Linked DNA regions of Oryzias latipes. The protein of the gene in region 4 interacts with the protein of the main gene of each other region in a biochemical or structural test. Links are inferred from orthologs where the notes say so. Each region holds a gene or a part of one and is shown on either strand. Other genes may lie near its edges.

Evidence for each region.
Region 1: the proteins of nxf1 (region 4) and THO complex subunit 4 form a complex in vitro, tested with the Homo sapiens proteins (2 studies listed by BioGRID and IntAct). The link is inferred for Oryzias latipes from reciprocal best matches to the Homo sapiens genes NXF1 and ALYREF.
Region 2: the proteins of nxf1 (region 4) and rbm15 form a complex in vitro, tested with the Homo sapiens proteins (2 studies listed by BioGRID). The link is inferred for Oryzias latipes from reciprocal best matches to the Homo sapiens genes NXF1 and RBM15.
Region 3: the proteins of nxf1 (region 4) and nup62 form a complex in vitro, tested with the Homo sapiens proteins (3 studies listed by BioGRID and IntAct). The link is inferred for Oryzias latipes from reciprocal best matches to the Homo sapiens genes NXF1 and NUP62.
Region 5: the proteins of nxf1 (region 4) and nup214 form a complex in vitro, tested with the Homo sapiens proteins (4 studies listed by BioGRID and IntAct). The link is inferred for Oryzias latipes from reciprocal best matches to the Homo sapiens genes NXF1 and NUP214.

The regions. Positions count from the first base shown.
Region 1 is NC_019866.2:15,368,434-15,375,172, reverse strand, and holds THO complex subunit 4, read left to right. Parts: upstream 1-2,536; 5' UTR 2,537-2,683; coding exon 2,684-2,923; intron 2,924-4,273; coding exon 4,274-4,432; intron 4,433-4,517; coding exon 4,518-4,665; intron 4,666-4,759; coding exon 4,760-4,823; intron 4,824-4,914; coding exon 4,915-5,095; intron 5,096-5,178; coding exon 5,179-5,193; 3' UTR 5,194-5,502; downstream 5,503-6,739. Other genes in the region: mcrip1 (mapk-regulated corepressor-interacting protein 1), read left to right, coding at 457-561, 651-715. UniProt on the Homo sapiens protein: Functions as an mRNA export adapter; component of the transcription/export (TREX) complex which is thought to couple mRNA transcription, processing and nuclear export, and specifically associates with spliced mRNA and not with unspliced pre-mRNA.
Region 2 is NC_019865.2:10,858,553-10,865,328, forward strand, and holds the start of rbm15 (putative RNA-binding protein 15), read left to right. Parts: upstream 1-2,573; 5' UTR 2,574-2,737; coding exon 2,738-5,275; 3' UTR 5,276-6,776. UniProt on the Homo sapiens protein: RNA-binding protein that acts as a key regulator of N6-methyladenosine (m6A) methylation of RNAs, thereby regulating different processes, such as hematopoietic cell homeostasis, alternative splicing of mRNAs and X chromosome inactivation mediated by Xist RNA.
Region 3 is NC_019879.2:22,072,655-22,079,051, forward strand, and holds nup62 (nuclear pore glycoprotein p62), read right to left. Parts: upstream 3,928-6,397; 5' UTR 3,612-3,927; coding exon 2,109-3,611; intron 2,015-2,108; coding exon 1,856-2,014; 3' UTR 1,702-1,855; downstream 1-1,701. Other genes in the region: itga6 (integrin alpha-6), read left to right, coding at 589-753; pdk1 (pyruvate dehydrogenase (acetyl-transferring) kinase isozyme 1, mitochondrial), read left to right, coding at 4,821-4,929, 5,073-5,214, 5,293-5,364, 5,440-5,624. UniProt on the Homo sapiens protein: Essential component of the nuclear pore complex. The N-terminal is probably involved in nucleocytoplasmic transport.
Region 4 is NC_019868.2:11,992,333-11,998,037, forward strand, and holds the end of nxf1 (nuclear RNA export factor 1), read right to left. Parts: intron 4,587-5,705; coding exon 4,550-4,586; intron 4,323-4,549; coding exon 4,254-4,322; intron 4,091-4,253; coding exon 4,035-4,090; intron 3,952-4,034; coding exon 3,844-3,951; intron 3,700-3,843; coding exon 3,641-3,699; intron 3,565-3,640; coding exon 3,449-3,564; intron 3,371-3,448; coding exon 3,328-3,370; intron 3,237-3,327; coding exon 3,158-3,236; intron 2,179-3,157; coding exon 1,996-2,178; intron 1,912-1,995; coding exon 1,851-1,911; intron 1,767-1,850; coding exon 1,728-1,766; 3' UTR 1,451-1,727; downstream 1-1,450.
Region 5 is NC_019870.2:10,686,495-10,692,493, reverse strand, and holds part of nup214 (nuclear pore complex protein Nup214), read left to right. Parts: intron 1-155; coding exon 156-314; intron 315-724; coding exon 725-828; intron 829-909; coding exon 910-1,086; intron 1,087-1,296; coding exon 1,297-1,385; intron 1,386-1,480; coding exon 1,481-1,567; intron 1,568-1,649; coding exon 1,650-1,964; intron 1,965-2,097; coding exon 2,098-2,265; intron 2,266-2,568; coding exon 2,569-2,680; intron 2,681-3,374; coding exon 3,375-3,438; intron 3,439-3,995; coding exon 3,996-4,062; intron 4,063-4,233; coding exon 4,234-4,318; intron 4,319-5,960; coding exon 5,961-5,999. UniProt on the Homo sapiens protein: Part of the nuclear pore complex. Has a critical role in nucleocytoplasmic transport.

The DNA.
Region 1 (6,739 bases), on a different chromosome or scaffold from region 4:
CTGGATTCACTCTAAAACAGTTACTGGTTTAGGATAAACTTTGGTTATCATGTGTGAAAAATATTGCAACTTCGCTGTGTGGTACTTTATCTAAACATTTTGCTGCATGAAGCATGCATTCCTCTGTATTAGCCCTTTTTATTGCTTTAAATAGTGGATTTTAGATCGATGTATTTGTCACAGTATGAAACTAAAGGCTGCTCACACAGTAGTGTGAATATTTTGTCACCCAATACTCCATAAAATATTCTTGAATGTAACTTAAATAGGTGTGTGTTATGGAGTTAATAAACAGCTTTAGAATTTGTTCCCATCTACTACCCACAGGACTGAATTGTTACTAAAATACATCTGACATCCATTGAATGAAACATCTATGGTGGGATTTGACCTTTTAACTGTTGGTGAACAGCACCTCAACCACTTGCCGTCCTTCTCACCTTTATTCCTTCTCAGCCTGGCAGTGTGTGCTCAGAGACATCCGATCAACGCAAAACAGTGAGCGTAACGACCGCGGGCCGCAGGAGTATGTGGAGAAGAACCCTAACCCTAATCTACATTGTAAGTTACAGAGACATTAAGCCAAGAGATCTTTATGTTGATTTAGGACATTTTTTAAATGACACTTGTGTTTCTGTTTGGTTTTGCAGCATTTACACCAGTGGACCTGAGTGATCTTAAAAAGCGCAACACACAGGACTCTAAGAAATCTTAGTCTTTTCTATGATGATCCACTTGCTTTTTTTTTTTCTCCACCCATTATTGTAAAGAACTTTTGATTTATCAGCCCGCTGTCAGCAAGAACGTTTGACCCATTGGCCAATCTAACCCAGAATGCAAATCGAATCTCTACTCTGGACTAAAGCAACCTCTGCCCCCCCCCCCTTTTTTTTTTTAAATCCTCAACAAGAACCAAAAGGATTTGGATTTCAGGGAGTTCAGATTCTTCCCACTTTCTCTGCATTTTTAGTTCACAGTTTTCATCAAAAGTTTCAATGAAGGTTTTGTGGTTAAGGCACAAAAAACGAGGACACAAGACTTAAACCCTCTACTACCAAATGTACCCTGATGACTTTGAAAGAAAATATGAAAGGGCTGACTTCTGTTTTTATTTTTTGGAAAACCAATTGATAAACAGTAGAATGATCTCAATGGATATCCTCTTAGTGGGCTTGTTTTGGAAACCAAAATACAATGTGGAAGGCCAACATTTTTTTTATTATTATTATTATTATTATACATTTTTCTTGCCCTGGGATGGACATTGTTGAGTAGTGAATGCAGGAATGCAGCTCTTATCTCCTTCCTCTAAGCCTTGGAAGCAAAATGTTGAATAAAAGACTTTTACAGAACTTCTGCTTGGTTTGACACTCATGTATGTTTGTTATAATACAATGAACAGTAATCAGTGTTAGGCTGTTTTTTTCCTCGGAACAAACGTTAGCTAAAAGTATGGAAAACGATCATAAATAAGAGGTTAAAAACTCCCCAGTATATCCCCCACCCCACTAAAATTCAGCTATTTTTAAATATACATAACTGTATTTGTAGTTTAGCTTTACAGATTGATTATATCTTTGATTTTCACTTTTTTTACACCCACAATTATTAGGAAAGTAATTCTTTTGCTTTTTTTATTAATAACAGCAATACCAGTTTTTTGTTATTTCTTTATAATAACGTGCAATTAACAGAGGTAGAGTTTACAGACAAACAGAGCCATGTAGCTCAGAAACAATCAATGTAGGAAAGGTTTCAATAAAAGAACAAGAGGGAAACTTTCTTTTTTGTTTGTTTTCTAATTAGGTGAAGAAGTTGTTGGTCTTAAAAATACTACTACCTTCAAATCAAAACAATAGAGTTGCATTTATATTTGTTATTTACATATTTCAAATGAATGTGAAGGAAGAATACAATCATGCATTCTCGTGCAGGGTGCTTTTTTAATCCTTATTGTAGTATGAAGAAGAGCAAAATTTTGAATAATACTTTGAATTGCTATCTTTTTATGCAAAATTAATCTTTTGAGATCAAATTAATTTCAACTTCTTAGCAGATTTGCTGACGTGTCTCATCAAAAAGAGATCCAATTTGTATTTATAATATGCATATTGAGAGTTCAGGGTGTTGTCCAATTTAAGCATTCATTATAATAACGTTTCTTGATCAAACTAAGAAAGTTTTCTTTAGGTCATAGTCACATCTAAATAAAAAATCAATTCAATACAAATTTCATTTGAAATATGAAACCACATTTTTGTTTGTTTAAAGAAGTGCCTTAGCCTATTTGTTTTCAATGTAATTTAAAGTCTAAAAGTATTTTTTTTTATGTTATTCAGTTTCGTTATAGAGATATAGTTAAAAGTGTTTGATTTAATGCTTTGATTGCTTCTTTTAGTGTTACTATGAACTGAACACACCCATGTATGGCGTTTTTTAGGAATAATGTTTTAGTTTCCAGTAGAGGGCGGTAAAGAGTTGTTGTAGTTTTTAACGTAATGACGTCAAGAGTACGTGTTCTCCAACCAATCAGCTTTTCTACAGCTTGTGGGCGCTTTTCATTGTGCTTAGTACTTGGACCAGAGAGCGTAAATCTACGGACGAAGAGAGGGAACAGCTTAGTCCAGGGTGTTTTAAGACAATTTAAATCTTTACAGTGCTTTAGAGTTATCGGGGCAGCATAATGGCGGATAAGATGGATATGTCTCTAGACGACATTATCAAGCTGAACAGGCAGAGTAGAGGCGGAGCCCGTGGGGGAAGAGGCCGAGGCCGCGGAGGCTCAGGCGGTGCCCGTGGAGGAGGCCTTGGGCGTCTTGGTGGTGGCGGCGGCGGATTTGGAGGCCGAGGCGGAGGATCAGGCCCCATGAGGACCCGACAGAACCTGAGCCGCGCTAGAGGCAGACCAACGCCTTATAGCAGGGTATGAGAAAGTTAGACGAATGGGCATTGGAAGGAAAAAAACCTTCGTCAAAGCTGAAAATTCCTGGTTTACGTCTTCTTTTCTCCATTTGGCTTGACGGCTAATCACCTAGCTAGTCAAGCCATTAAAATGGTTGCTTACCGCTGAGTTTCCCTTAGAGGAGAGCTCTATAGTTTGTGGATAAGCATAAATGGAGGTTGTTTGCATAATATGTCCCTTCTCCCACAACCTATATGTGTCGCACCACTTTTCAAGAAGAAGCTGCTTGAGGAGCGACTATGTTAGCCACATTGGCTAACCTGCCGGATCGTGAAGGTCTCAGCGCCATTTTGAATCCAACAACCTCGAATACAATTTGGCGTCAAAATGATGTTTTACCCCAAGTGTCGTAATGGTCTGGAAAGAAAAGGATGCCTACATCGCTGAGAAGGTTCCTGCACGTTTTTTCCATTGCTACGGAATCACATTCCTTCCAACGTCCTGCTACATCTTCAAGGCGGCCTTTTGTCCCAGGAATGGCTGACGGGGTTTCTTAAAATCCCACCCAAAAGGCTTTTCACCAAATGTCACATATGGATGGATACGTGGACTCATACTTAATCCCCTCAAATTTCCTTTATTTTTTTTTTTTTTTTTGTAAAAAGAAGCCCAATCTTCACTCCTGGGGTGTGAATGAATATAAATGCAACCCAAACAAAGCCCCGATCAAAATGGCGTGGTTTCAAAATGGACGTCCGCGTACTCCACGCACTAAAAAGGGGGCTATCGGCTTCTTTCCCCCCAAAATGTTCTTCACCTGTAACATCCTAAAGACATTTCTTCATGAAAGTCGAATTGTGGCCTGACAAAGGACTGTTGTGAGCCTGGACAAGCGGCGCAACGCGGGATGCGAGGCTGCTTCTGCCGGGGACCCCCCCTCGTGTGCCTGAGGAGCATGTCGACAGACAGAGCAGTTGGTGGAGTAGCAGATGGCAAGAAACGACGGGGTTATGCTAGCTAGTTTGGGGCGGATTTTTGGTTCATGTAAAGATTTTTTAAAGTTAATGTATGAAAATGATTAGTTTAAATATCTGTCAGCTTTTTGTCTTACTTTACAAGTAGTAAAACATTGAAATTTTCTGTATCAAAACACCAAAATAGCTATTTTTAAATTTGTGTATTTCTGTCTGAAGTGATTCACGTGATTGTAACGATGGGGTGGGCAGGGATCATGGGGGGGTCTGCTGAGCACCCTGGCCGTGTTGGAAGTGGAGCACCTGCTTGCACCAACACCCAGCCGTGTGGACTCTGTGAAAGACAGAGGCAGGGGATCCTGAAGTCAGCAGGTGCGTTCTCTTTCGTCTGTTGCAGCCCAAACAGCTTCCCGATAAATGGCAGCACGACATGTTTGACAACGGCTTCAGCGGCTTCAATGGGGCTGCTGGAGGTGGCGGAGGAGCTGGTGTGGAAACGGGAGGAAAGCTCCTCGTCTCCAATCTGGACTTTGGGGTGTCAGACGCAGACATCCAGGTACAACTTAGCTAGCATATCTGATGGTGATGTTTTTTTTTTTTAATTGATGACTTAGTTTTGACTTTTTTTTTTTTTATCGAAGGAACTCTTTGCTGAATTTGGGACTCTAAAGAAAGCTGCAGTTCATTACGACAGATCAGGAAGAAGCCTTGGAACGGCAGATGTCCACTTTGAAAGGAGGGCAGATGCCCTGAAAGCCATGAAACAGTACAATGGCATTCCTCTTGATGGTATTCTTCTACTTTATTACAGATTTATTTAATTAGATAAATACATTTAAATATTAGTTGATCTTCCCAAGATTAAAGCCTAATTTGTGTTTAGGGCGGCCTATGAACATTCAGCTCGTCACATCACAGATCGACACACAGAGGCGGCCTATGCAGGGGTAAGTAAGCATGGATTCTTGGGAAACTGGAAACAGGCTGTTGTGTAAACCCCAATTACATTTTCTTTGTGTATTTGTTTTGTTTTACCAGTATGAACAGAGGTGGTGGAGGCATGAGTAGAAATCGGGGTTTCGGAGGGATGCAAAGAGGCCGAGGGGTCCGTGGTGCAGGTGGTCCCAGAGGAAGAGGGCGGGGGGGGCGCGGCGGTGCCCCCAAGCAACCGCTATCGGCAGAAGAGCTTGACGCCCAGTTAGATGCTTACAATGCCAGGGTACATCTGTCAAAATAGAAAGCATCTTCTGTTGAAGTTGTTTTGCAGCTGTCCTAATTCTGTTTCACCTCTTGTTTTCTCAGATGGATACCAGTTAAGGAAACCTCCCATCCTAGTTGACGTCATCCCTCCCTGTCTGCACAGAAAGGGGTGCTTGTTACAGATGTGCAGAATATTTTACACTTGTCTTCTGATGTGATTGAAATTGTTCCAACCTCTTCTTTTAAATACTCCAAAGTGTTTTTTACCAAGTGTTTTATTTTTGTTTTAATTTTTTTTTTTTTTTTGATCGAATGGTTTTACTGTAGGTTAACTGCTGGGTGGAGTTTTCTCAGTTTCTCCCAACCCTGTAGTGAATGGAACTTGTAATAAAAACCTGCAGTATATATTAAATAAGCAATGGGTCATTGTTGTTTTGCTTTATTTTTTACTAAAACCAGTCTAAGGTGGAAATATGCTGGTTGTATTTACATGAAAGCTTTTACTACTTTTTAAAATGCATAGGCTAATAAAATTATTAAATGTTTGTAAATTACATTGTCCAATTGTATTTCAAGCAGTTAAAGATCAAATTCATATCTGCTATGACCTGCTTTACCCTGGGGGTTAAATACTTTTCAATGCATTCTATATTTTCAAGAGTTCAGCCACTAGATGTCGCCCTTGTTCAAATTTGATGGGTTATGTTCTGAAATTTGCTTTTGTGGCGGTTTCCTTTCTTCGCCTCTCAGTTGATGATGAAAGTGCACACATGAAACTGTAGGTGTACGTAACTTTTTATGGGACGCTAAAAGAAGGAATAAGTTAATCTAATAGGGAAGATAACTGAACTCGGAAAAGCTGCACCTTCCACCACACTTTCCGGAAGTGTTCCATAAAAGGCTCTTTTTTTTTTTTCCTTCAGCTTCCGGTTAATTTAACTGAAAACAAGATACTACCTGTGTTTGCTACCTTTGTTGTAAGGAATTTTGTTAATGTCTGTTTGAGACTGGTTGTCTACAGAAAATTCTGGTAAAGGTGGCTAACCCTAAAAACTCAGACACTACTTAAAAACGCTTTGATAAAATAGGTTTATTTTTAACTTAAATTTTTTGTATTTAAAGCAAATAAAATATGTTGAAAGTAGGTTTAACTTTCAATGTGGAGTTTCAGCAAAAGTAATAAACCTACATGGAACACATTATTTATTAAATTATTGTTTTACATGAAATCAATTCAAATAGGCTTTTTTTTTCTTTCAAAAAATATCATTGAAGATTTCAAACTAACAGATTCACATTGAGTTTTACAATGATGAAAGAATATCAATATTTAATACAAATATGCAATGCACCTAAAGTGGGGATAGAAATAGTGAAATAATTAAATTTGTGTTGTGATGACACACAAACATTTTAGTTTTATTTTGAAAGTCATTAAGCGGATGTCAGAATCCGTCGGAGCTTGTTCAGATTGTCTTCCTCCGCTTCACTTCACTCCCATTCACAGGAGACGGCCCCAGCCAGCAAAAGCAGAAAACGGTAGGACTAAACTTAAACTCTTTAAAACATACATTTTAGTAATGTTTATGAATTGTAAAGGTTGATATATTGTTGTACGCACAAATAATTAAGGAATATAAAAATAAAAGATGGCCAACCTGAC
Region 2 (6,776 bases), on a different chromosome or scaffold from region 4:
TAAGTCCCAGATTAAGAAGTGAAGATAAGAAATGCTGTCAGGAAGAATATCAGACTCGAGAGATTGTCATCTTTAGTAAAGCTGGAGAAATGGCACATAATGGGTTTGTGTTTGGTTTTTGTGTCTTTTTTTTGGTCTTTGTACAGATATGAAAAAATGATCAAACTCAGCGAGATAGTACTAACCAACATGAAATCATGGCATACCTATGAGCTGAACAGCTATTAGTTTTAATCAAACTCTTGTGAAAGTTACTGTTTTTCCACAAGCTTTTATATGTCTTCATTTACTAACATAATCAATAACAGGTCAGCTTGAAGCAGTATGTAGTAAACACAGTTATCTATCAAATTCACTAAAAGCATCATATCATTAAAACAATTTAAAATAGGTTACTTTACCGTGTACAGCAATAATTTTTATGGATGTTTACAGACCTTTGTTCACATTGGAACTGTTTAAGCGTCACATCTTGTACAACAAAAAAAAAAAAACCTTCAAAAGATGATTTAGCCATTAACTGTTTAAGAGAACTGGACCAAGCGAGTGTGACATCACCCATAGAGTGTGGCTTATACTTCCAGTTCCAAAGACCTTCGTCAATTCAGTCTGCAGTTCTTAACATCGCCGTGTTGGAACCAGAAATCGTTAATGAGCAGTAATCAGTCAGAGTCGGCCTGAGATAGCATTTTTATGGCAACCACTCTCCCCAATCAGGAGTGAGCTTGTTGGACGTCCACTCCTCTACCACTTGAAAGTGTGCTCTGGAGAATCAGTCAATCTAACTCTTGTTGTTTGACCACATGCTTTTATTGAGGCATCTGCTTGGTCAGTTTATAACTTGAATAAGTTGCACTTCCTGCGCTGCCAGGATGAATGCTTCAGTGCTGTCCTGTAGGCCAGGCCTTTCTAGCCATTGGTAGGACTTCTTGACATAAGCCACTTCCTTAATGGTCCAATGGGACATCCCATGTAGGGGCTTGTCCTCCCATGAGGATCTGTCCTATAGCACCGCATCCTCTGCTCCCCATTGCCTGAGACTTTCACAGAGCACACTGTCAATTGGGGCCTTGAGCTTGATGTATTCATGCATCTTGGATTTTTCATCCTGGATAGTGGTTTCCACGCTCAACAGTCCTCGGCTAACGGACATGGTGACCAGTACATTTACCAGCTTGTCTTGAAAAAAGTGTGCTTGATCAAACAAGGCTTGGGGTAAATTTGACTTCCTATTTTTCCTTCAGACCTTTTGACCACTTCCATCTTGTGGTACATTAAAGAACACCTGTCTTCCGTTAAAAGCAAATTCGAATGATGCCTGATACACTTTACACCTCAAATTCAGAACACACACACATACATACAGTAAAACAAAATGAAAAATGAATAAAAATTTTAAATCATACTTCCAGTTTCACTACTTTCTGGACACTTGCAAAGAGGCTTCCGATTTAGAAAATAAATCATATGGAACATGTCCATGTGTTTTTGTTTGTATCTTTTAATATTCAGTTAATATGTTGATATTTGGGTCATTCCAGAACTGGAGGACATTTGGGCTGCAAAATTCATGAAGAGCAAACTTTGACTTTTCTAATTCTCTGCTATATAATCGTCAATAAAAGGTAATATCTGTCAAAGGCTTGATTAACTTTGCTTACAGATCAACTGCGAAATATTTATGACATTATATTGATGATGACAAGACTTGATGCAACCTTGTTATCAATTTTTGCAAGTAACAGGGTTGCAAACATGTATTAATATTGACTTTCTCTCAGGAGTAGACGCTAGTTGTTTAGCTGTCACTGAGTACCAATAAGAAAATTAATGTGATTTCAATGGCATGCCTTTTTGCATTTCTGACCACCCCAGAATGAATGGTGATATCTTGTTTTTCTCAGTTGCTACTTTACATGCTAATTTGATTGCTTACTTACTCATAAAAAAGCAACAACAATAACAATAATTGTCTTACTCTGATTATAGGGAAACAGGGTTGCATGAGGCGGAGTGAGACATTCAATCTAGGATAACTATGTGTTAAAAATAAAAGATCCACGTAACTTTTGCTCTACCCATTCTTTTTGAATACTGTTTGATGATGTCAAGTCCAGCATATCACTCTTTGCTATATTCTAACCCTCTTACCTGTTATGGTAAAAGGAATTGTGTGGATTCGGTGGGAAACACATTGTATTGATCATAAATAATATTTGAAATACTTCTTTTATTTAAAAAAATCCCACGGTTACATAAAACACCAATCAAAACAAGATATACCAAAAACTGAATCTAAAATTTAATTTTAACTGCTTTTATTGAAGATTTAATTTGGACAATGGGGGACGGGACAAGAAAAAATGCATTTTAGGGGGTACATTGAGCTTATTTGGCATTTTTTAAATTATTTTCAGTAATTATTTTCACTTAGTTTTGCATGTGGATTATTTAAAATAGGTTTATTCTGAAATGACCCATTTTTTAATCCATCGCTGTGTGCGTGATTGACGGGATTTTAAAAGGTTTTAACCAATCGCCGCCCCCCAAACACCGGCCAATCAGCGCATGGAGGCGGGTCTTCTCACAAATCTTAACAAAATGGCGACTGTTGTTGTTTTGCCGCAGGGTCGGTAAATAAATTCTTTGAACGTATTGGATATTTTCTACATTATTTTGTGGAAGGAGTGCAGGAAAAAGCCAGTTACCACAAAGAGTTTACTCTTCGTGGGCTGCAATGAAAGGAAAGGAGCGGTCGCCGATTAAAAAACGGTCCCGGGCCTTGGACGACATTCGAGAGAGGGGAGGATGCCACCCGACCAGCAAGAAAATGGGGGCTCTCTCCGTTTCCAGTGGGAGTAATAATGGAAACAGTTCGTCCAAAAGCGACAGCGGCTCAACGAGACGGAGCTTGTTGGGTGAGAAAAGGGACAGAGATTTTGAGGGCCATAGTCGGACTGGAAATAATCACAGCTGTCAGTCTGCTGCTTCCAGCTCCGTGGGTAAAAACCACAACCTGAGCCTGTCGCTAGACCTAGCCTCCCCGCGAGCCTCTTCGCGCGCGGAGCAGCGTGTTCCGCCGCCCAGCACCGAGAGTGAGTACAAAACACTCAAAATCAGCGACCTTGGGAATCAGCTGAGCGAGGAGGATATAGAAGATGGGCTTTTTCATGAATTCAAAAAGTTTGGCGACGTGAGCGTCAAAATTAGTCGCAGCAACGACGAACGGATTGCTTTCGTTAACTTCAGGAAGCCGGAGGACGCCAGGGCTGCTAAACACGCCAGAGGCCGGCTCGTGCTCTACGACCGGCCGCTGAAGATCGAGGCCGTTTACACGAGCAGGAGGAGAAGCCGCTCCCCCGTGGAGAGGGACTTGTACAGCGCAGCACAAAGTCACAGACACTTGCAGAGACCCCTGTCGCCCACCGGCCTGGGTTACAGAGACTACCGGCTGCAGCAGCTGGCTTTGGGACGGCTCCCTCCTCCCCCTCCGCCCCCTCTGCCCAGAGAACTGGACCGGGACAGAGAGTTCGCCCTGTTTGAAGCCAGGGCACGTCCAGCTTTCCTTGCAGAGCGAGCAGCTTTTCGTGAAGAGGATTTAATATCTCCGGAAGACGACCAAAGAGCAAACAGGACTTTGTTTTTAGGCAACTTGGACATAAACATTGCAGAAGCAGACCTCAGGCGGGCTTTCGACAGGTTTGGAGTCATAACAGAGGTGGACATCAAGAGACCATCACGAGGACAGACCAGCACATATGGATTTCTTAAGTTTGAGAACCTTGACATGGCTCATCGTGCTAAGCTTAGCATGTCTGGAAAAATAGTGGGTCGCAACCCTATAAAAATCGGTTACGGAAAAGCAACACCCACGACCCGTTTGTGGGTCGGTGGACTTGGACCGTGGGTTCCTTTAGCTGCCCTGGCCAGAGAATTTGATCGCTTTGGCACTATAAGGACCATTGACTACAGAAAAGGTGACACTTGGGCCTACATCCAGTATGAAAGTTTAGATGCTGCTCAAGCAGCATGGACACACATGAGAGGCTTTCCGCTGGGAGGCCCAGAGAGAAGACTTCGGGTGGATTTCGCAGACACTGAGCACCGGTACCAGCAGCAGTTCTTGCAGCCTCTCCCTATTCCACCGTTTGACATGGTGGCTGACTCGTTTGTCCACCGCGCCACGCCTGAACCTCTGAGAGTCAGAGATCGGACTCCACCTCCACTTCACTTCAGGGACAGAGAACTCTTTCCAGCAACGGAGTGGCCCAACCCGGCCATTCGTGAGCGGGTCCGGGGATCCCCCTTTGAGCCTCTGGAACATTTGGAACGCGACCGGAGAACTCGAGAGCCTTGGTCTTTGGAGCGTGAGCTGCAAGGGCGAGAACCAGGACGTAAGAGACGCTTATTGGAGGATGGCCGTCACCTAGATCACTCTCCTGACAGCACTGAGAGGACAGTGAGACGTAGACGTTCTTCTCCAGATGGCAGTCCTGGGGGCAGCAGCAGAGACGGAGGACGTTTCAGTGACTCTGAGCATCCTGTGCACAGTGAAACGGCCTCACCAGCCAGAGAACATGTCATTAGCCTTGAAAGAGGTGGGGCGGATCGAAGGGTTAAAAGCCAGAGTCTTTCTGAGAAAGGACTCTCATCTGCTGGTGAGCGGAAACGCAAAGCGGGCGACAGTGGCAAAGTGCCTGCCAAGAGAGAACGCTCTGAAAGCAGCTCTAAAGGAGCCCAGCAATCCAAACCTGATGGCACCAAACTCATTGTGGCATGGCGCGGAATGCTGCTCCTGAAGAACAGCAACTTTCCAGCCAGCATGCATCTCCTAGAAGGTGACTACGGCGTCGCCAGCGACCTGCTCATCGACGGCTCAACCGGAAGGCAGGTGAGCGAGCTAAAGATCACGCAGCGTCTCCGTCTGGACCAGCCAAAGCTTGATGAGGTGTCTCGGCGCATCAAAGTCGCCGGTCCAGGCGGCTACGCCATCCTGTTGGCAGTTCCTGGAAGCACAGAGGACTCCTCTTCATCTGATCCTATGGCCTCAACCCAGCGGCCCCTTCGCAACCTGGTGTCCTACCTCAACCAAAAACAAGCAGCTGGGGTCATCAGTCTGCCTGTGGGAGGGAGCAGAGATAAAGACAACACAGGGGTTCTTCATGCTTTCCCCCCCTGTGATTTCTCTCAGCAATTCCTGGATTCCTCTGCAAAAGCTCTGGCAAAAAGCGAAGAAGACTATCTGGTCATGATTGTGGTTCGTGGAGCATCTTAAAAAAAAAAAAAGAGAAAAAGTCACAATGCACTATGTTCAAGTGGAATATAAGAAAAAACAAGTCTGCTGTTTGTCAGTAATTATTGCATGCTGTGTTCTGCATTGTGGGGTACACTAGTATGGTTCTTGAGTGTTTGTAAGGTGCCATGTAATTCACTAAAAAGACATATGGTGCCCTGCAACCAAACTAAAAGGTTCATCTTAAAAATATCAAGTGAGTATTTGAATTTGATCAGTCACAAATGCTTCATTACAAATTGATGATTTGGGGATTTATTAGTTAAAATTCAGATGTTCTGCAAGAATGAAAAACCTCAGAGTATTTACACAATAACTCGGTGATAAAAGAAGCCCAACATATAAAAATGACTTTATTTAATTTTTGCTTTTAGATCATTTTTTTTCTGATCCACTATGTTGCATTACCTCAGCCTGTGCTGATGGTGTTATTGTTGGTATTCTGAAAAAAACAGCAAACCCCCCCTTACCTTCACCTAAAGTGCAGTGAATTGTCAGCTCTTTCTGCTTTGAGTAAATTGTGAACTCAAGATACTTGAGGAAATGGAAATAAATGGTTCTATTAACTGTTATAGAATGGCAGTAACAAATATTTTTGTTGTAAAGGGAGAACAGATATTCCAATAAGGTTAAAACACATCACACAACTCTTCAATGGAACTACATCCGATAACTTAGCCGTGTTCTTTAGTTAAAATAACACCATTTCCGTTAAAAGTTTCAAAGAAAAAATGAGTTGTGCTCTGTGTTTGACCTCGGTTCCACAGTAGTTAATTGAAGGTCACCATTTGGTTAGAGTCCATGTATTTCAGCTGCAGTTTTGTGAACTTTTGCTGGGGGAGGGGTCAGGTTTTATTGAATCAAGTTCCTGAAATTTTTTGTTTTTTTTTTGCCGAAATGTAGCATAACTTGGGGATGCTAATATCTGTGTGTGGATAGCTGAACACTAACGTTTAAGCGGTGTTCCTGCCCAGGGAACAGCCCATAATATGCAAAACGAATGAATGCAAATACTTACATTGCAATTTTAGAATTTTATTCGTTTTAAAGCTTTTTTTTTAATTTAGTGCCCCCTTTTTTCCTCCACACATGGATGCTTGCAGAGTGAATAAGTTAAAGTACAGTTGAGCAGAAAAGCTGGAAGGTTTGGTGATTTGTGACAGTCCAAGACATTTACTTCCTGTAGACCCACAACAATCAAAATCCGTAACATGCTGTTATAGCGGGAGAAACCTGCTATTTTTTTTTTTTTTTTTACAGCAAGTAGATCCGTGCAGTTTTATGGTTTTAGATGTACATTAGCAGTAAATGTAAAATTTTAGAGCTCTTTAAGTATTTCTACTTATGCTTGCCAATATTTCCCCAAAGTCTGCTGACCCTATGAGCTCCAGTATGTTTGTCATGCAGTAGTTATTGTGTAAATGATAATTTGCTGACTTTGGTTTCATATGTACTGAAAACAATGTGTGGCAGACTTGTAGTA
Region 3 (6,397 bases), on a different chromosome or scaffold from region 4:
CACAAAATGGACGGTAAAAGGCAGTTTATTTTACTGTCCATTTACTGGATGAAATTGAGGATGATAGAGCATCGCTCCTAACCACTGCCCTTGCTCCTCCTCAGTGCGGTTTCTTCAAAAGAGCATATAAAGATCAATATGAGGCTGCCAGTCACAGGGCAGATATCCATCAACAGCCTTCTGAACAAGAAACACTCACTGAGGCCTGACTTTCTGTCTGAACGGGGGTAACGTTAGCATGAAGCGTGCTTTTGCAGTTGCTCATGAGTTTACCTTTCTGCTCCATCTGCAGATGTGATGTGGGACAAATTCAGCCGGACTCAAATTTTACTAACCACACGATAGAAGTCATTTAAAAACAATCCAGCATGAATGAACCACTGACAAAATATGCTTTCCAGTGGTGCCACATGTGTCTCTGAATTTTGCCCACATTTCGGTGCTTTTCCTGTGCACAGTTCTGTCGATGCGCGGCCTGTCAGCATTTTGTCTGCTTGGACTCCAAAAATACGCTAAGCAAGAGCATGCTTAATGTCAGGATCCACACCTGCCTTCCTGTTTCATCTCATGTTTTGCCTGTGTCACCAGTGCGGATTCTTCAAGCGCTCCCAGAAGGACGACAGCGTTCCTCAGTACCACGCGGTGCGGATAAGGAAGGAGAGTGTCGAGCGTGAAGATGCAAAACTCAAACCTGATGTTACTGAAAAGAAGCAGTGGATGACATCATGGATGGACAGTGAAAGTTACTCTTGAAAGCTGAGATCATTTGTTCGATAAATAATCAATCATTCTGCTGACATCATTTTTAATGTGTAAATCCAGGATTTACTGGTTTCAGTACCTTGAATTTTGACACTGTACAGATATATTTTTCTATGTGCTGTTTGTTTTTTATGGTTTCTGCACATTTTGTATTTATTTTTGTATAAAAAAAAACATGGTGCCAAAGGTTCGTAATAACAGGTTTACAGCTGAGATGCTATTGTTGTCAAATCTATGCAAAGGTACAAGTCCATCACTGTGGAATGATGTCATTTTACTCATCGCCTGTGTTCCCGTCAAGTTGAAATCTCTCACTGCTGTGATGTTCAGGTAGCATCCACTGTACTTTAGATCATCACTGAATCGGATTGTTTTTATTTTTATTCAATCCAAAGGGAATGTGCTAAAAAGACTGTTTTTATGGGTGTAACTGCTTCTTTTTGTCATATATAAAACAATTTAAAGAATTATTTCTAATGAATCTTCCTTTTCTATATAAAAAAAAAAACATCTTCAGCTTCTCCGTAAATTAAGTTTAAAACATTGTTTTGACAAAACTCAAACAAATGCTGAAGTCAATTCCCCTTCAAACGAGTGTCATAGCAAAAACATCCTAATTGAAAATCCACCTTGCAAGTATTAACCCTTGTGCTATCCTAGGCACTTTAACATTGGGAGTGGGGTCATCTAGACCCACTAGACAGTGCGCTGAACCTTTTTTCTTCAATGATTTGTGATCTTCACTGGTGTCCATGGATTACATGAAATCTTTCCACCTTTGTCATGGTAGGGAGAACACGTCAATGTAAGGGTGGGGTCATCTAAGATAGCACAAGGGGTAACATCAGTCTTAGAACAAGAAACAAATCTTGTCATTAGATGTTTTTCAATCCTAAATATAGATAAAAAACAGGTAAAATTAGGATGTGAAAACACAAAAAAGTTCAAAATTTGTTTTTAATCATTCTATTCAGGTAGATACAATTATAAAGATGATTGCATTTAAAATAGTTTTGCAACACACAATAGAAGTATAATAAAGGAGAAAATCCAAAGCAAAATGGGAAAAATAAGCACTGAGCCAAAAAACAAATCAGTCAAAGGTTAGACGAAAGGTCTTCTCCTGCTCTTTGCGCTGGGTGTCGCACTGTTTGGACACTTCCTCCACTCTTCTGTGCAGCAGGACAGAGTTCTGGTCGATCCACTGCAGCGAATCCATGTGAGCATTCAGGATCTTGCAAATCTGCTGAAGCTAAAGGATTCAAAAAGAAAGGAAGGCGATTAAAACAGCAGAAGACTTGATTTTATGAGAAATATGATTTAAAAAAAAAAGGCTCAGATCTTACTGGATCACTGGTGTCTGCCGGCCCGCTGGATGTGTTCAGGTGCTCAATGATCTCCTTCAGGTCCTGTGACATCCTCTTCAGCTGGGCGTCCACGTTCTCAGCGAGCTTGTATGTTCTTTCGCGTTCCTCGTCTGCGTTCTGCATGTAGATGGTTCCGCTCTGCTCCTTCACAGTCTCTTCCAGAGGGCAAAGCAAGTCCTCCAGCTCCTTCTGCTGGGACAGAATGAAATCGAGCTCCTGGTTGAGCCTTCTCTGGTCCAGCTTCACCTTCTCCATCTCCTTATGCAGAGACGTGATCTTTTCCCCGTTCTCCACCAGCATTCTGTCCCAAGCGTTGACCTGAGTTGCCTGCTGTAAGAAATGCCTCTCTTGGTCCTGAAGTTCAAGACTCCACTTGTTTATGAGACCCTCCAGCTGGGCGTAGGTCATCACCGGAGGGGCCGTGGTGGTGGTTGTAACGGCTGTTGCTGTGGAGGCTGTTGTGGAGCTTGAGATGGTCGGAGGTTTGAATCCCAGCGTGAAGCCTGCGGTGGCATTAGCTGTGACAGCTGCAGTTGTTGTGGTGGTGGTGGAGCCGGTGTTTGCTGCTGTGCTGGCAACGGACCCCAGAGGCTTGAGCATGAAGGATGGAGCTGTACCTGCAGCTGTGGATGCTGCCATGCTGGTTGACAACGCTGGAGCTGCACCCAAAGTAAAACCTGAAGTTGGCGCTGCTGCAGAGGTTGTGATGATAGGTGACGCAAACAGAGACAGGCCTAGGGTGGGGGCTGACTGGGTGGGGGCTGACTGGGTGGATGCGGGAGGAGCTGGTGTTGATGAGGGTTTAATTCCGAAGTTAAACCCTCCACCCTGGGTTGGAGCTGCTGGAGCTGCAGCTGCTGGGGCTGGCTGGGTGAGGGTGGAGGGGGCAGGGGTCCCGAAGCTGAAGCCTCCTCCCCCCGCTGCGATGGTTGTGCTTGCAGCTGAGGTCACCTGGACTTTCGGCGCTCCGAAGCTGAACCCTCCGAAAGCCATGCCACCTGATGCGGTGGTTGTTGTAGGTGCAACTGTCGCTGCGGGTGGGGCCTGGGAGGTAGCCCCAAAGTTGAAGCCCCCTCCCGCTGGAGCGGCGCTGTTCGTCTGCGAAGACAACATCCCGCCCAGGGTGAAGCCGGACCCCGCAGCTGGAGCGGCCGAGGAGCCTAAGGTCAACCCAGTGGCGGCGGTGGTTTGGGTAGTCGTGGCCAGGCCGAACGTGCCGGTGGCGGCGGCGGCGTTGGGTGTGCCAAAGGAGAAGCCGGTGCCGCCGGCGGAAGAGTTCTTAGCCGGTGCGCCAAAACTGAAGCCACCGGTCGGGTTGGCGTTGGTCTGACTCTGAGTCGGAGTGCCAAAAGAGAAGCCCGTTCCCGAAGCCGCAGCCGTGGAGTTCGTTAAACTGAAGCCCGGGGCCGGAGCGGCCGCTGTGGTCTTCTGCGCTCCGAAGGCAAAACCCGAAGGTTGCCCGAAGTTGAATCCGCCACTCATGTTCTTCCTCTGATAAAAACAAAATGACTTTACAGCTTACGAACAAAATGGTATCTTTCACCACAGTTTTTGGCGGGTCGCTAGCACGAGCTGCCGGTTCAACTAGCTTCACCGAAGAAAAACCGTCTAATGAGAGGACTTCTTACGTTAGCCACGGATATTTTAAATCATAGTCTAATAACTAATTCTTTCACTGTGCCGGTAAATATAATAATACTAGCGAAGCATCTTTAAAAAAAACGTGGGTAACTGACCAAACGTTTCTTTGAGCATACTTTCTGTTGTAGCTAAAGGAAGTGACGCCACTTTCAACATGCAATTTTGCCCTCAATTCTGTCTGTCAGAGAAAAAGCCCCACCCTCTAGTTTAGATTGACATCCTTAACACCAAATTACTGTGCCGAAATGAAAAATGCTGACATTTGATTGGTTTTTATTTTTTAACCTTACAGACAAGCACTGGGGATCAGAGCGACGGCATTTCAACCAGTCAAAGAGTTAATAGAGGACAAGAGATGCACAGAACGCACTTTTTAGTGTCGTAGATATGAACTACATGTTAATAATTCCTCTTGCATTTTGCTAAATAATTAAAATTATATAAATTCGTTTTGTTGTTAAACGCTTTAAAGTAAAACAACATATATTTTATTTGTCACGCAAATATGTATTACTTTCTACATTAGTGGTGTTTTTAGCGGTCTAATCTAACCCATCTGATATGCGGGTTAGGAACCAAAAGTGATCAATTTGTAGGTGGCGAACATCCCAAAAGTTGTATTCCAACCACCATAAAATAAAAGCAGAAGAATAATCTATTTAAATTGCATAAAAGTTGTCATCTTTATTTTATAAAGACTACTGCAAAATAGTTGCGTTGTTCTCTCGGCGTCGAATCAACTCTTTGAACTTGCTAGCTCAGCTGCGGAGTGGGTGCGTTTGCCGTGTTGACTTTTGACTGAATTTTACAGAGGACGTCCGAAGTGAGGGATGATGCTTTAGTCCGTCTGTGACCATGCCTGCAGCAGGAATTCAGTCCAAGTGGAAACACGGTCGATAATCGCAAACGTGCGGGCGAACTGCTGAGTTTAGCCAACAAGCTAGTGTGTCAACAAGCGTCACATATTTATTGTTGTGGCCGCGTGCGCCATAAGAATTCGGACGTGTCGTGTGTGTTTGAAATCTGATCAAGTCGAGGCCGGAGAGCAACATGAGGCTTTTAAGGTTCCTGAGGAAGAGCGTGGCGGTCGGGAAGGACATTGACTATTACTCAAAGTTTTCTCCTTCGCCTTTATCCATGAAGCAGTTTCTGGATTTTGGTAAAATGAATTTTAGATGCTTTAAATATAGTTGTAATTTACTCCCCCTCTCTCTATGTGTGTGTATTCTAGCTTATGGTTGGAATTTTAAAGGATACTTTAAAGTATTTTTGAAAGTCCTCCATGTTTTTGTCTTCCTTCAGGTTCTGAAAATGCATGTGAGAAAACATCCTTCGCCTTCCTCAGACAAGAGCTCCCTGTGAGGCTGGCAAACATCATGAAGGAAATTAATTTGCTGCCAGATAATCTGCTGAGAACTTCATCAGTTAGCTTGGTCCAAAGCTGGTGTGCTTTTGTTTTTATTAATATTTTCCTATGAGTTTTCTGTTTGCACACACGTTTATGGATATTTTCCATCCCTAGGTATATGCAAAGTTTCCAGGACATCCTTAAATTCAAGGACAAAAATGCAGACAATGAAAAAGTCACACATGAGTGAGTCGTTTTTACTAGTGGACCAGTTCTACAGTCTGGTTTTACACATTCAACCTGTAACGGGTTTTTGATCAGGTTCACAGATGCAGTCATCAAAATCCGAAACCGCCACAACGATGTGATTCCCACCATGGCTCAAGGCGTCGTGGAGTATAAGGAAACCTACGGCACCGACCCAGTCGTCAGCCAGAACGTTCAGTATTTTCTGGATCGGTTTTACATGAGTAGAATATCCATCAGGATGCTGCTGAACCAGCACAGTGAGTGAAACATTTGCTAACAGAACTCTTAGGTGTTCACCTCATTGCTGTATTGCTCAAAAGCACGTGGAAGTGAATTCAAATGAAGGGGGAAAACAAAGACTAGAAAAGCATAAAATAATCAAAACTGACGAAACATCAACCAGGGAAAACAAAAAGTCAGAATTCAGAGAAAAAGTGGGGCTTATCTGACACCATGATGACTGACATTTTTATTAAAATGACTAAAAAAGTCTTTCTTCATGGATCCACAAACAAAAAATAGAGATAATATAGCAAACACACATTTCATAGCCAACAAAAAAGGAAACAGATTTGTTTTTTAGTGTTTTAATCTTCAAGGTCCATGTACGGTTTGAGCTTAAGTTAGAATTTTGTTTTAGTGGATGTCAATTCTTTTACTTTTTCTAGCATCGCTTGTGTTAAAAAAAAAAACGGAAGAACCTTACCTTCTTTTTTTTAATGAGTTCCTTTTTATTTCAAGCTTTCTGATTAAAGGATTATACATGTTTTTCTCCCTTACATTTTCATAGTTTAAAATTTGGGGCTTGGACTCAATAAGTTGTTAAACTTCCTTTTTTTTTTAAAACTTTGCATGTTGTCATTCATTGCAACACTTGTTTATTTTTTAATTTGATCAGTTTGAAATCAATGAAAATCTAATTTGTGTAAAATAAAAACAATAATTCCATCATTATAGTGAAAATAACTAATTTTTTATGCAGAACCCCAACATTTTGAATATTTCTATAAAAAATAGTGACTATATAAAA
Region 4 (5,705 bases):
GCAAGAAATTCAAGATCATCAGTGCCCTTTGTGATAAAACGATATTAAAACAAAGAAACATATTTTTTTTTATGGTGGTTAATATATTTTTGGCGGAACGTATAGTACTTGCTTTAAAAAATACAATACCCCTTAATAACGTTTGATAACATTCAGTTTGGGTTTATAATCAAAGAAAATATTCAGTTCTTTAACAGGTGGATCATTTTAGGATTTTTTAAATTCATGAATGTTGCCTTATAAAACTGAATCCCAATTTATGTTAAAAATTCCATCAAATTTGGAAAACAAGACTCTTAGATTACATCTTAGATTATCTGTTTACGTAAATTACTGCCTTTCTTCTATTTTTCTTATTTCATTGTATTACTATTATTCAGTTTTTATTCTTTATTTTTCTTTTAGTTTTGCATTTTAACTTTGAATATGTCAATTAAAAATAAATATTATTGGTAATAAGCGGGTTTTTTTACATTGTACATTGTAATACAGCAAAGTTTCACAAAACGCGTTTAGAGAGCCTTTAGAGATTGATTTTTTTACATTTTGTCATGTATTCCTTTGCCTTGTATATTTTAGGAAGAATTCAAAAGAATACCCTTTACCACATAATTAGACATTTATGAGGGATCATTCAAAATACTTTCCAGTTAATATCAGAAACAAATTGTTTCAAATAAGATAATTGGTCGTAGCCTTTTGAGGGCAGTTGCTTCCCACAGGTGACTCAGTTGGATCTGATATTATGATTCCAGTAGGTAACAAATTTAACAGTATTAATGTTCCTGAGGATATGGCATCTAATAGCTCAGCCACCATTAGGATCCCATTCTGCATCCAAGTCTCTAAGTAATTCATTTCTAAATAAGATATGTTGTTCCAGATTATATACTTGTGTGGAGAACAGTTATGTTTGTAAATGAGGTTCCACGCCAAGTGGACCCACTTATGGTAGGGGCAATAAGCCTCTTTTCATGATATGAAATGCATCTTAAATTGAGTAATTCAATAACAATCCTCAGTTAAAAATGATAAGTAATGCTGTCACTCAAATGCCCAAAACAGGCTGAGAGTAATTTTATTAATTTAATTATCAGTGCAAACATCAATCACATCAATCCAACAGTTTGATTCGTAACCATTTAGTCAGACTGGATACGATTTTAACAATTCTCGTTTACATTTTTTTTTAATTTAATTATATATAATAAAATTGTCAATATTCTTAAATTCATTACCTTTGCCAATAGGATGTAAAACAGAATGCTTTGTATTAACTGCACTTGTGTCTTCTTTTTGTCTTGTGTTGTGGCTCACATGATTTTTTGTAAAAAAATGTATTAGCCATCTTTAAGATGTTTTTTTCTCCAAGTGTTTGCTCACAACTAAAGGGTAAGAACTACGGTACTTTGAAGAAAAAATTATGTAAAAAAAACAGATTGAGGTTAACTCTTTAAGCCATTTGTCAAGATCCATTTTATTTCTTAAAAAGGCAAAATGTTCAATTATTGGCTTCATTTTTATTTAAAAATGTACACTTGTGTCTATATTTATTGGCCATAAAGACAGGATACAACATCCAAACAGCAAAACCTGTCTAAACTGTTAACATGTGTTGCTGGTAAAACAAGAGTAACAAGTTCAATCTACCTTTCTTTCATTGGAACAAAAAGCCACAAAATAATTATAAAAAAATAAAATCAGAAGGTTTCATTTTACATATTTAGTTATTTTATGAAGGCAACATCTGGGATCTTGCCTTCCGCCTGTGGAGAGAAATAGAAAACGTTTTTTTAAACTGCAAAAAATAAGAAATAATTTTTTTTTTATTTTGAAAGACAATTTGTTACCTTTAACTGAGTGAAGATGTGTGCTGCTCTGTTGAAATCCCATTCATTGTCTTGTAGGCATCTGCAACAGAAGCGTTTAATGTTACACTGTTCAAATCTAATAGCAGTACAAGTGAAACAATTCCAAAAAGTGAAGGAATCCTACTTTTGTGACCATTCCAGGTTCATGCCAGACTCCTGTGAAAAGGCTGTGAGCATTTCTTGCTGTGGTGCAGTTAGGGTTGGGACGGGACTGGATGATGGAGTTGGGGCAGGGGCCACAAACGCTCTGCGGATCTCCTCTGTTGTTGCCATTCGTATGAAAAGCTGGTCATTGACGATGCACAAGCTGTCAAAGACGACACGTTTGACAAGAAATTTTTTTTTAATACCAGGGAAGACGACTGAAAATTGATTTTCCTTTGTTTAAAATTGCATTTTTAACACAATCTGTGAATGGCCATGCATGCTTTTTTAGGCCTGTTTTTTAGTAATAGTTATTTTATTTGTTATCAAATTTAACTTTTTTCCTATAATGACATCTACTATCTCATTATCACAAGAAAACAAGGTCTTTCATTTTATAACAAGATCACAAAATAGTTTTTCTCTTTAGCACAAGAAGACTGAATTTCAGTATGTAATGACCAAATACATTTCTGCTTGTAGGCGCGCCTCCACAACTGTAGCCGGGAAACTTTCTCCTCAAATGAAAATGACCGATTGGAACATTGTTTATGCCCAACAACATCAGCAGAATCTACACCCGAGTTAGGCCATAATAAAGTACCGTAATTATAAATTGATCAGTTCTTCTGGTGTTTAACATTTTCTCAAAACTAACAAATTTTTTTTCTTCTACAGATTGTAGGAAAATGTAAGAAGCACACTGCTCAAAAAAGAAAGGGAACACTTAACTCAAAGTCAATCACATGTCTGTGTAATCAAACTGCCCAATCAGGAAGCAACACTGACTAAGAATCAATTTCACATGTTTTACTGCAAGTGGAATAGACAACAGGTGGAAATAATAGGCCATTAGACACAATAGATATAGGAGTGGTTCTGCAAGCTGTGACCACAGACAACTTTACTGTCCTTATGTGTTCTGGCCGATGTTTTAGTGACTTAAATGCCAACAGTGTTGTCACTCCAGCAGTAACATGACACAGCATGTACCACTCACACGAGTGGGTGCAAACATTTTACAGAGAATGAAGATTTAGTCAAATACAGTTATTTCTGATTTGTGTAAACAGATAAAAAGGACATTTATGAATTTTTCTACAGAAAGGGAGAATTAGGCAGGCATCTGTTAAGAAACTTACCCAGAATTTCCTGCAGGGACTGTGATGAAGACCCTGGAGAACGCCATTGTGGATTCTCTGGACTTTCCATCAACAACAACTGAATAAAAAAAATATGAAACATCAGCCCCACAGTCTACTTTGGTGTCAGTTGAAATGCTGCCAAATTCCTGCACAAGTATATATCCTACCTTCTTTGAAGACTCCACCAATGGTAAATGACAGTAGTGTGTTCTGTAAAAAAAAAAAGTGCAATTTTTAAACAAGAGCAAGGACATCACAACTAGTTGGCCTAATTTGACAAGAACTTACTGTGCAAGTGTTGACATCAATAACAAAGGAGGCAATATCGTGTTGCGTCTTTGGAAGCTCGTTAAGGAACGCCACCACGTTTAGCCGTGTGTGCTTCAGCAGTCGAAAGCGCATCGCTAGAGAAGAGAAGTAAACGTCAATATGCATCACAGAGCATCTTATGGCGGGGAACACGTCTGGATGAAAACTCACTTGTGTCTTTGATTCTCTTAAGGTTTCGACTGTCTTTGTAATACTCCCCCAGACTGCTCCTAAATAGAGGATAAAGACAAACACTGTATTGGCAGTAAACACACAGATCATCTATTTCTACCACTGCATTTGAAACATAAATGTAACCACAGCCCACATTTTTAAATGGTTAATAAACTTCAAGAACTGGCCACGTCATTTACCTGGAGGGGTTCTGCGTGGAGTAAGGCGTGGTAATAGATAATGATGCACCATCATGATAGGCATCCAGAAGAGGTTGTCTGTTTCCCGAGTCGTATATACTGTAGTACCTGGAACAAAGTTTCTACAGTTACCCCGGGCCAGTAGAACTATGGAAAGACTATGGAGGTGATGTTCAGTTTGAGAAACTCACTGCTGCAAGAATCGCAGGATGATCACCTTTATTTCATCTGAGCCAAAGCAGCTACCCTGAGTACCAAATAAAAATTAAAGACATAGTACTTGGAGAGATAAAAAGTTCAAGTTTGATAAATCATAATTTTGAATTGACTGTTATTCTCACATCATCTACAAGCAAAGAAAAACAACCAACCGTCTATCTGATAGAACTACACACTGTCAATGAACTAACCTTGCAGGGTGGAATGGCAGTGGGTGTTTCAACATCAAACCCAATGGGCGGTGGGAGGTCCTGACCATCCTGGCATAAAAAATAAAAAGTCACAAAGAAAGTAATTAATTAACAGGAAACACTGTGCATTTGCATTTTATAATAGCGAGGAGATGTTTTTGATCCAAGCTCTTTTGTGATGGTTTCCTATTAAATTCAATATGGGTTAGCTTTAAATTAACCAAAAGGGTAGAAATGGTTTTAAAGAGGGTCAACTGTTATGTAGACATAAAAAAACAAAAAACAATTTGACCTACCAGTTTGAGGAGCCGGGGAAATCTCTGGCGTACAGCACTGGCACAAAGAAGAAGCAAAAAAAACAAACAAAAAAGGTTTCACTCCAAACCTTCTCAAACTCAAAGAAATTCACATAACCGCCAATGTCTTCACATCTTTGGTCTAATGTTCTTCGATTTTCAAACTTTTCAGCGAGGGCGATGACACAGAAATGAAACATGTTTTAAAAGGGCCAGGTGACCCCCCCCCCCCCTTTAGTGTTTATGTAAAAATGGGATATCATAATTTCTTCCCCTTCAGTTTCATTCTGTGCTTTCAAAATTTTCCATCCCAAAATGTACTTACCCACAGGTATACTCACCCTCTTCCCCCCACTATGGTGAAATACACAGATCTGACATGGAAGAGCAACACAAGAACAGCATACTCTAAAGAGCACACATACAGACATGCACATTTCTACCAGACTGAACCGGAAAGCCAGGATCCAAATCCAAGGTGAATTAGTCAAAATAACAAGGTTATGTAATGCTTGGAAGGGGGTGGGGGGGGTGGGGGGGGGGTACCGCCAGTCTCAAGTTATCCCCCCCCCCACTCTCCTGCCAAGATCTTGAAGAACAGATGAGTCTATCATCACCAATACACAAACCTAGGTCTGGATAAAACAATATCAAGTGAATTTCCCAACACTGGCACACGGGTCCCAACATGAAAGTCTCGTCATTGAGCGAGGCATTTTAGTCATGATCTGCACCCAGAAAAACCAGCAAAGAGAAGCCTCCTAAGAATAGAGATGATCAAAAAGGGACATCAGGCCTTAGTGTCAGCTGGACCCAGTAGTCCCTCCACGGTTTTCCCAAATGCTTTAAAGCAAAGTCTAGTTTGTTTGAAGAGATAAACAGCTCTTCATGCAACACTAAATATTTTGGCAGACCTCTAGTTACAGAGGGTCAAGCAGGTGATTGAACATTAGTATACTCTGCCCTCTATAACTCTGTGGTGCAGATTGCACAGCCATAGAAAAGGGATGTTTATTTCACGTTTTTGTCTTTTCAACATCTTCAGCAAAAACTGAAGCTTCAATTCTCAGTTCAGAACTCATTTCTCTCCGATGTTTGAACATTTTCCCCCCCGAACTCTTCATTCCATTGAAGCCTTTTGTAGGCAAACCATCAG
Region 5 (5,999 bases), on a different chromosome or scaffold from region 4:
CTGTAAATATAGTAAACTCAATAAAAAAAAGCATCACTAACGTAGAGGATGACAATGTTGGAATTTCTTTTCCTTTTGACAACTTTTTAAAAATTGTATGATGTTACAATCGACACCTTGTAAGATTTTTCGATATTTTCTTGCCCGTGTTGAAGTCTCTCCATGGTGACATTGGCACGCTGAAGACCACATTACTGGAGGGCTTTGCTGGGGCGGAAGAAGCCAAGACGCAGAACGAGCTGGGAAAAGATAAAAACTACAGACAGCTGTTGTACAAAAAACCTCTGGATCCCAGAAGTGAGGAGCAACTCAAGGTGAGGAATAAAGCAGCAGATGAGTTGTATTTACAGGTACGATTACAGATGTTTTAAAGCAGTAAAACCCTCACTACACCCTTCATACACTTTTCTCAGACAGACATGAATGTTTTCACTCCTTTCTTTCTTGTTTAAACTCTCAAAGTTCAAGCCTTCATAGAAAAACAAGTCTACTGTTATAAAATGAAAACAGGATCTGATTGCGATCAAGATTTATGTAGATTTGGCAAATTTAGTTGCTGTAAAAAATAATAAATATATATATATATATATATATATATATATATATCCCGCAGTGAAAGGTGTACCAAAATTATAGTGAGGGACCACTGTACTTCATATGCCAATTATTGAGGTTTCTTTAAGACAAATAAAAGTCTTTTGGTCATGGTGTGTTCCGTTGTCAGGAGATTCGGAGGCTGTACCAGTACGTTAAATTTGCTGTGGAGGATGTTAACGACGTGTTGGATGTGGAATGGGAGAAACACCTGGAGAAAAAGAAAAAGCAAAAGTGAGTGTGGAGGATCACTTATTCAGCTGGAACTGAATGCGTCTGTAAACAACTTTTAATAAATAAATCCTTTCTTTTCAGACACATGGTCGTGCCTGGACGTGAGGGTCTTTTCAATACATTGTCCAACAACCTGTGCATCATCAACCAGCAGAAGAACCGACTGGATCAGCTGATTCAGGAGCTCAGTGCTCTGCGGCTCTACAGCAAAACCACTGCTCCTACCATTAACCAGAACACTGCAGCAACATCAGATGAGTAAGAGCTGTCATTAGGCTGAGAGGACTTGACAAATTCAAAAGTGTATAAATGTGAAAAAGGCTGTGATTGGAAGCACCTCAGATAATGATTTTAAGGCTCAGATTCAAAGAAATCTTTACTTCAATAAGCTGGAATTCCCTGGATTTTTTTTTTGGAATGCATTCATAGTTTCACAACTTAATATAAAATGTTTCTGTTTTATTAAAGCTACAAAGGTGAGCTGGAGAATTTGGAGGAGGCACTTCTGAAAGCCCGGCTTGAAACGACTCCTCCTGAGACAAAAGTGAAATCAGCAGGTGTGGAAGTACATTTTCACAAAAATTAATTTTTTGAACCTATTCTTCATTTCATTTGAGTTAAATAAGTTTTTTATTTTGGTGCGTTTGTCAAGCAGTCAAGGTTTCTCCTCTTAAACAGTCCCAACTGCGCAACTTCCTGTCAAAAGGGAAAATGCCTCCTGTGCGTTCAACTGCACCAGGTACTGTTATATGTGCCTTCATAGTTGAATTGAATCAAATTTGTTCCGTAAATAAGTTTCTAAAGACTTAATTGTTTTCCAGCCAACTTGTCGCGCTCGGCCTTCCTGGCCCCTAAAAACCTTGAGGACTTGGATGATGTGAGCTCAACGTCCTCCTTATCGCAGTCTATAGAGCTTCTCCCATCTCACTTGGAGTTGGAGGAAGAGGAAGAACTACAGCCCCTGCAGCCTTCACCTATGAATTCCATGACCCAATCACTTCCCACCCCACGTCACCCCACTGTTGTTCGAACGCCCTCCATTCAGCCAGGCTTTGGAGCTATACAGTCCACCCCTCTAACAAAGATGCACCCTGTTCCTGGTATGGGCTTTGTGCTAAGCCCCATTATCAACCCTGGTAAGTAAATCAAACATGTTTGGCCTTTTTCCAACCTATCAAGCTTATAATATATTTGAAATGAAATTTCCTCATAGCACAGCCAAAAGAATACTTTAAAAAACACTGTTTCATTGAAAATGTTTTATTTTAGTTCCTACAAATAGGATTAACCTCAGCGGGGCTGAAAGTACTGCGCTTGCCACAAAGACGGTAAAGCATGGAGCACCACCTGCAGAGCGGAGCATCCCTGTGACCATCTCTGCCCAGCAGGCTGCTGCCACCGCGGCTCTGCGGAGACAAATGGCCAATCAGAAGACGGGTAGGAGGAACAATCAGCTCAAAAATTCACTTCTAAGTAGATTTTTCCCTTCAATAATGTGCACACAAGTCAAGTTTTTGTTGCTTTGCAACATCTAAACCACAAGGGGGAGACAAATCTCAACATATAAAAAAGAAAAATTCCCATCAATAAAACCTCAGGAAACACTAAATAATGGTCCTGAAGGAAAACTTACTGAACCTAAATTGGCCTTCTGATACTCAAGGCTACAACAATAAAAACTCACATTTTACTCCTAAATGCTTCTATTTTAATTTTTGTATTTTTCTTCTTTTTTTCCAGCTGTTGTCAACACTTCTTTGACAGAGTCCACCTTAAAAACTGTCCCTCAAGTAGTGAATGTTCAGGAGCTTAAGGACAAAGGGGCACCTATGCCAGTGTCCTCTATGGTCAGGTAAAAAAAAAATCAAACCCTGAACTGTTTTTAGAAGAGGGGAAAGTCACTAACTTCACTTTTTTTATTTGTGTCATGTGTCATGAAAAGTAGCCAATTGCAATTATGATTATCTATCAACACCAAGAATATTTTAAAAAAGATTTAAAAACATCCTGCTTTTTTAGTAAAAAAAATAAAACTGTCAAAAGATGGAGTGATTGCTATTGAATGCTGAGGGTTTCTGTCTGCTTAACTTACCTTAAAGAAAGCTTCTTTTTTTCAAGAGACAATAATACAATACAATACAATAATACACCACATAATACAAAAACAATAATAAAAAAAACCATCATATTATTTTATCAATTAAAAAAAACAATGTTTAATATTAGAAAAACTGTTATACCACTAAACATTAGATTGTCTCACACACCTGTTTTTTTTTGGGGGGGTATTTTGAAAACTGCATGTTTAGCTATTTATCTTTAATGCTAGATTTTTATAAACATGTTATTTTTTAAGATGGACACAAATACACTAAAATAATGCAATATCTATAAATAACATTAAGATGAAGAACAAGGCCATATTTTGATTAAAAAGTCTTGTGGCCAGCCAATTTTTTAAATTAAATAAACATGAACTTCATGTTCAGTCTCATATTTTCTTTGTGTTTAATAACTGTCCCACCCGTCTTGTTGATCTTCTGCAGCTCCTCGGCGCCAGATCCCTCAGTCCAGGGCTTCACAGCAGTTTCTAGCAGCCAAGTCAAACGAGTGAGTTGGATCTTTCTATCACTCTGCAGGCGGTTGCCAGTCAACTTTTTATTTACAAATCTTTTGTTTACAGTTGTGGTATTGTGACTGAAGTCACTCTTGTCTGTATGGATGATTTTTGGATGAATTTTCAGACATGCACTTTTTCATTGTAGTGTCGCACATTTTACTCAATTTCCTATTTAAAAATGGCGTCATGTTTTACATAGAAAAAGATTAGATAAGACATATTAAAATTATATATTTCCTCATAATTTTAAATAACATTCAACATGTGAAATTTCACGAACTGCTGACAGTTTGGCATCTGAAGACAGGCCTTCACTGCACAGGCGAGAAATACCTCATGTCCCTCCTGAATTTGTGCTACAATCTGCTGCAGTCTGACAGGAGAGCCACCTCATTCGAGTCCTGTTCCAGGACGAGTTCAAGTTCGTAAATGTGGACGCAAAAGGACACTGTGTGAATGTTTTGTTTTTTTCCTTTCCACCTGCTGAAAAGTGCTGACTTTGTGATTACGAGTTTGAATCTGCAGCGGTAAATGTGTGTCTTTGCAGAACACACCGGGTCTGCAAAAGATACCCACAGAGAATGCATCTATTCCACAGACAGGCTTTGTCTTTGGTAAGTGTTGTAAGATAAAATCTGTTTTGATGCAAGAGACCTAACATCTGCACCAATTTCTTTGTGGTTACACATAAACACATGACCCTAATTTTTAGTTAGGACTTTGTAAAAGCAAATCCGATTTTTAGCAGTTTTCTTACTCATGTTATGAATGTTTTTGTCCTCAAGGCCAACCATCCAAAACAGACCTTTCCGGGGGTCCACCTAGTTCACTTGAGCAAAACACCAGCAAGGCCTTCTCATTCACCTCAGGGTGAGTTAACACAAATGGCATTAAAAGAAAAAGGTGATGATTAGTCAGGGGAGAAAGTTTAGTGACTGAAGCTTTATGTGATTCATATCTCCATTAAAAATATTTGTAAAAATTATAGACAACTTTCTTCCAAAATCGTTGTCGTAGCTTGAGGATAAATAAACATGCTTAGCTCACATCAATAAAATCGTTTATTTATTTTGCTTGTTTTAAAACTTTTTTTGAAATAACTTTTTACCAGAGTTTGCACTTTGTAGACAGTCCCTTGGCAGCCGCCCCACTGCCGTCTCTATCAGCAGTATAGAGAGAGCTGTTCTCTTAAAAAAAAAAAATCTGATATTTTTTCTGTTGAAATGACTTTGTGGGTCATTGTTTGCATTAAGTTAAACCAATAAACCTGCGTTGGGCTCTTCCGGCGCGGCGGGGGGCTGCTTTCCTGGCTGGGCTGGGGCGGCGCTCTCTTTCCCTCCGCGCCTCCCTGCTCTCTGGCTCTGGGGGCCTTGCGGCGGTCCTGCTGGCCCTGGCCTGGGTGGCGGTCTTGGTCGCCCGGGGGGCGGTTGTTCCCTGCCTGTTCCCGTGTGGCGCTGGGGGAATTCCGGCTGCCGCTGCTGCTGCGGCGGGGGTATGGGTGTGGGGGTGGCTGGGCGCTCCTCCTCCTTCTTTTCACATTCCACCATCCATTTTAGAAGAACATAAACACTCACCTGAGCACAGGTGTTAGCTCACCTTTGCACTAATAGTTTGCATGATTGAATGAATGAAAGATTTCACACTAGTTGGTTTAAAGGCATAGGTATGCGTTCGTGAACACTATCTGTTTTGTGTGCATGTTGACATGTGGACATTTCTGCGGCTAGCAGGTGTGTTGATAATATTTGAGTGTGTGTGAACAGGCCCCGCCCTTTTTGTACTACATTTGAACCGTACCGTAACGATAAACAACCAGTAAACCTGTCTGCTCTATGCTGCTTCATGGTCTTACCCCCCTTCCCCTCCTATTATCACCCTCCTACCCCCCCCTCTCTCTAACGTCCCTCTCTCTTGTTCCCCTCTTTCCTTTTCCGTCCGGTCCAACACCAAAGATTTTCAAACATGATTGAAATTAATAAAGTTTGGCCTCAATTACAAAAGGGGTTTATTCAGACATACCTTTGGTTTGTCTGAAGATGAATAACCCCTCTTGTTAGAATAAAATATGTCCAACACAAGAGGCCCTCAGCTCTCATCTGTTTGCCTAGCTGTTGGACAGGACAAGTTAAAAAAAAAAAAAAAAAAAAAAAAAAAAAAAAAAAAAAAAAAAAAAAAAAAAAAAAAAAAAGTTAAACCAATAGAGACGCTTGCTGTCAGTTCTAAACATTTATCGAAAGAGTTATTGAGCCCAGAAATCCAAATCATTGAATATGTTGCTTACTTTAACAACCTGTATTGTGCGCTTCCTGCTCTAACTAGTGCCGTATTCCAATGGGTTTTAAAGCATTATGATCCATTCATGATATGCAGACTGTTATTTGAGTATTTAATTTAATAATCTGTGATAGGATGGGGACATCCCTAGAAAGTGTTATCAATTGGAAAGCAGTATTGTTGCCTTTGCTCAGTACTACAGATGTTTTTCATTCTTACTTCCTGGCTGCTTTTGCAGATCGACGGGCTTCAGTTTTTCATCTGTAACACAAGGTGC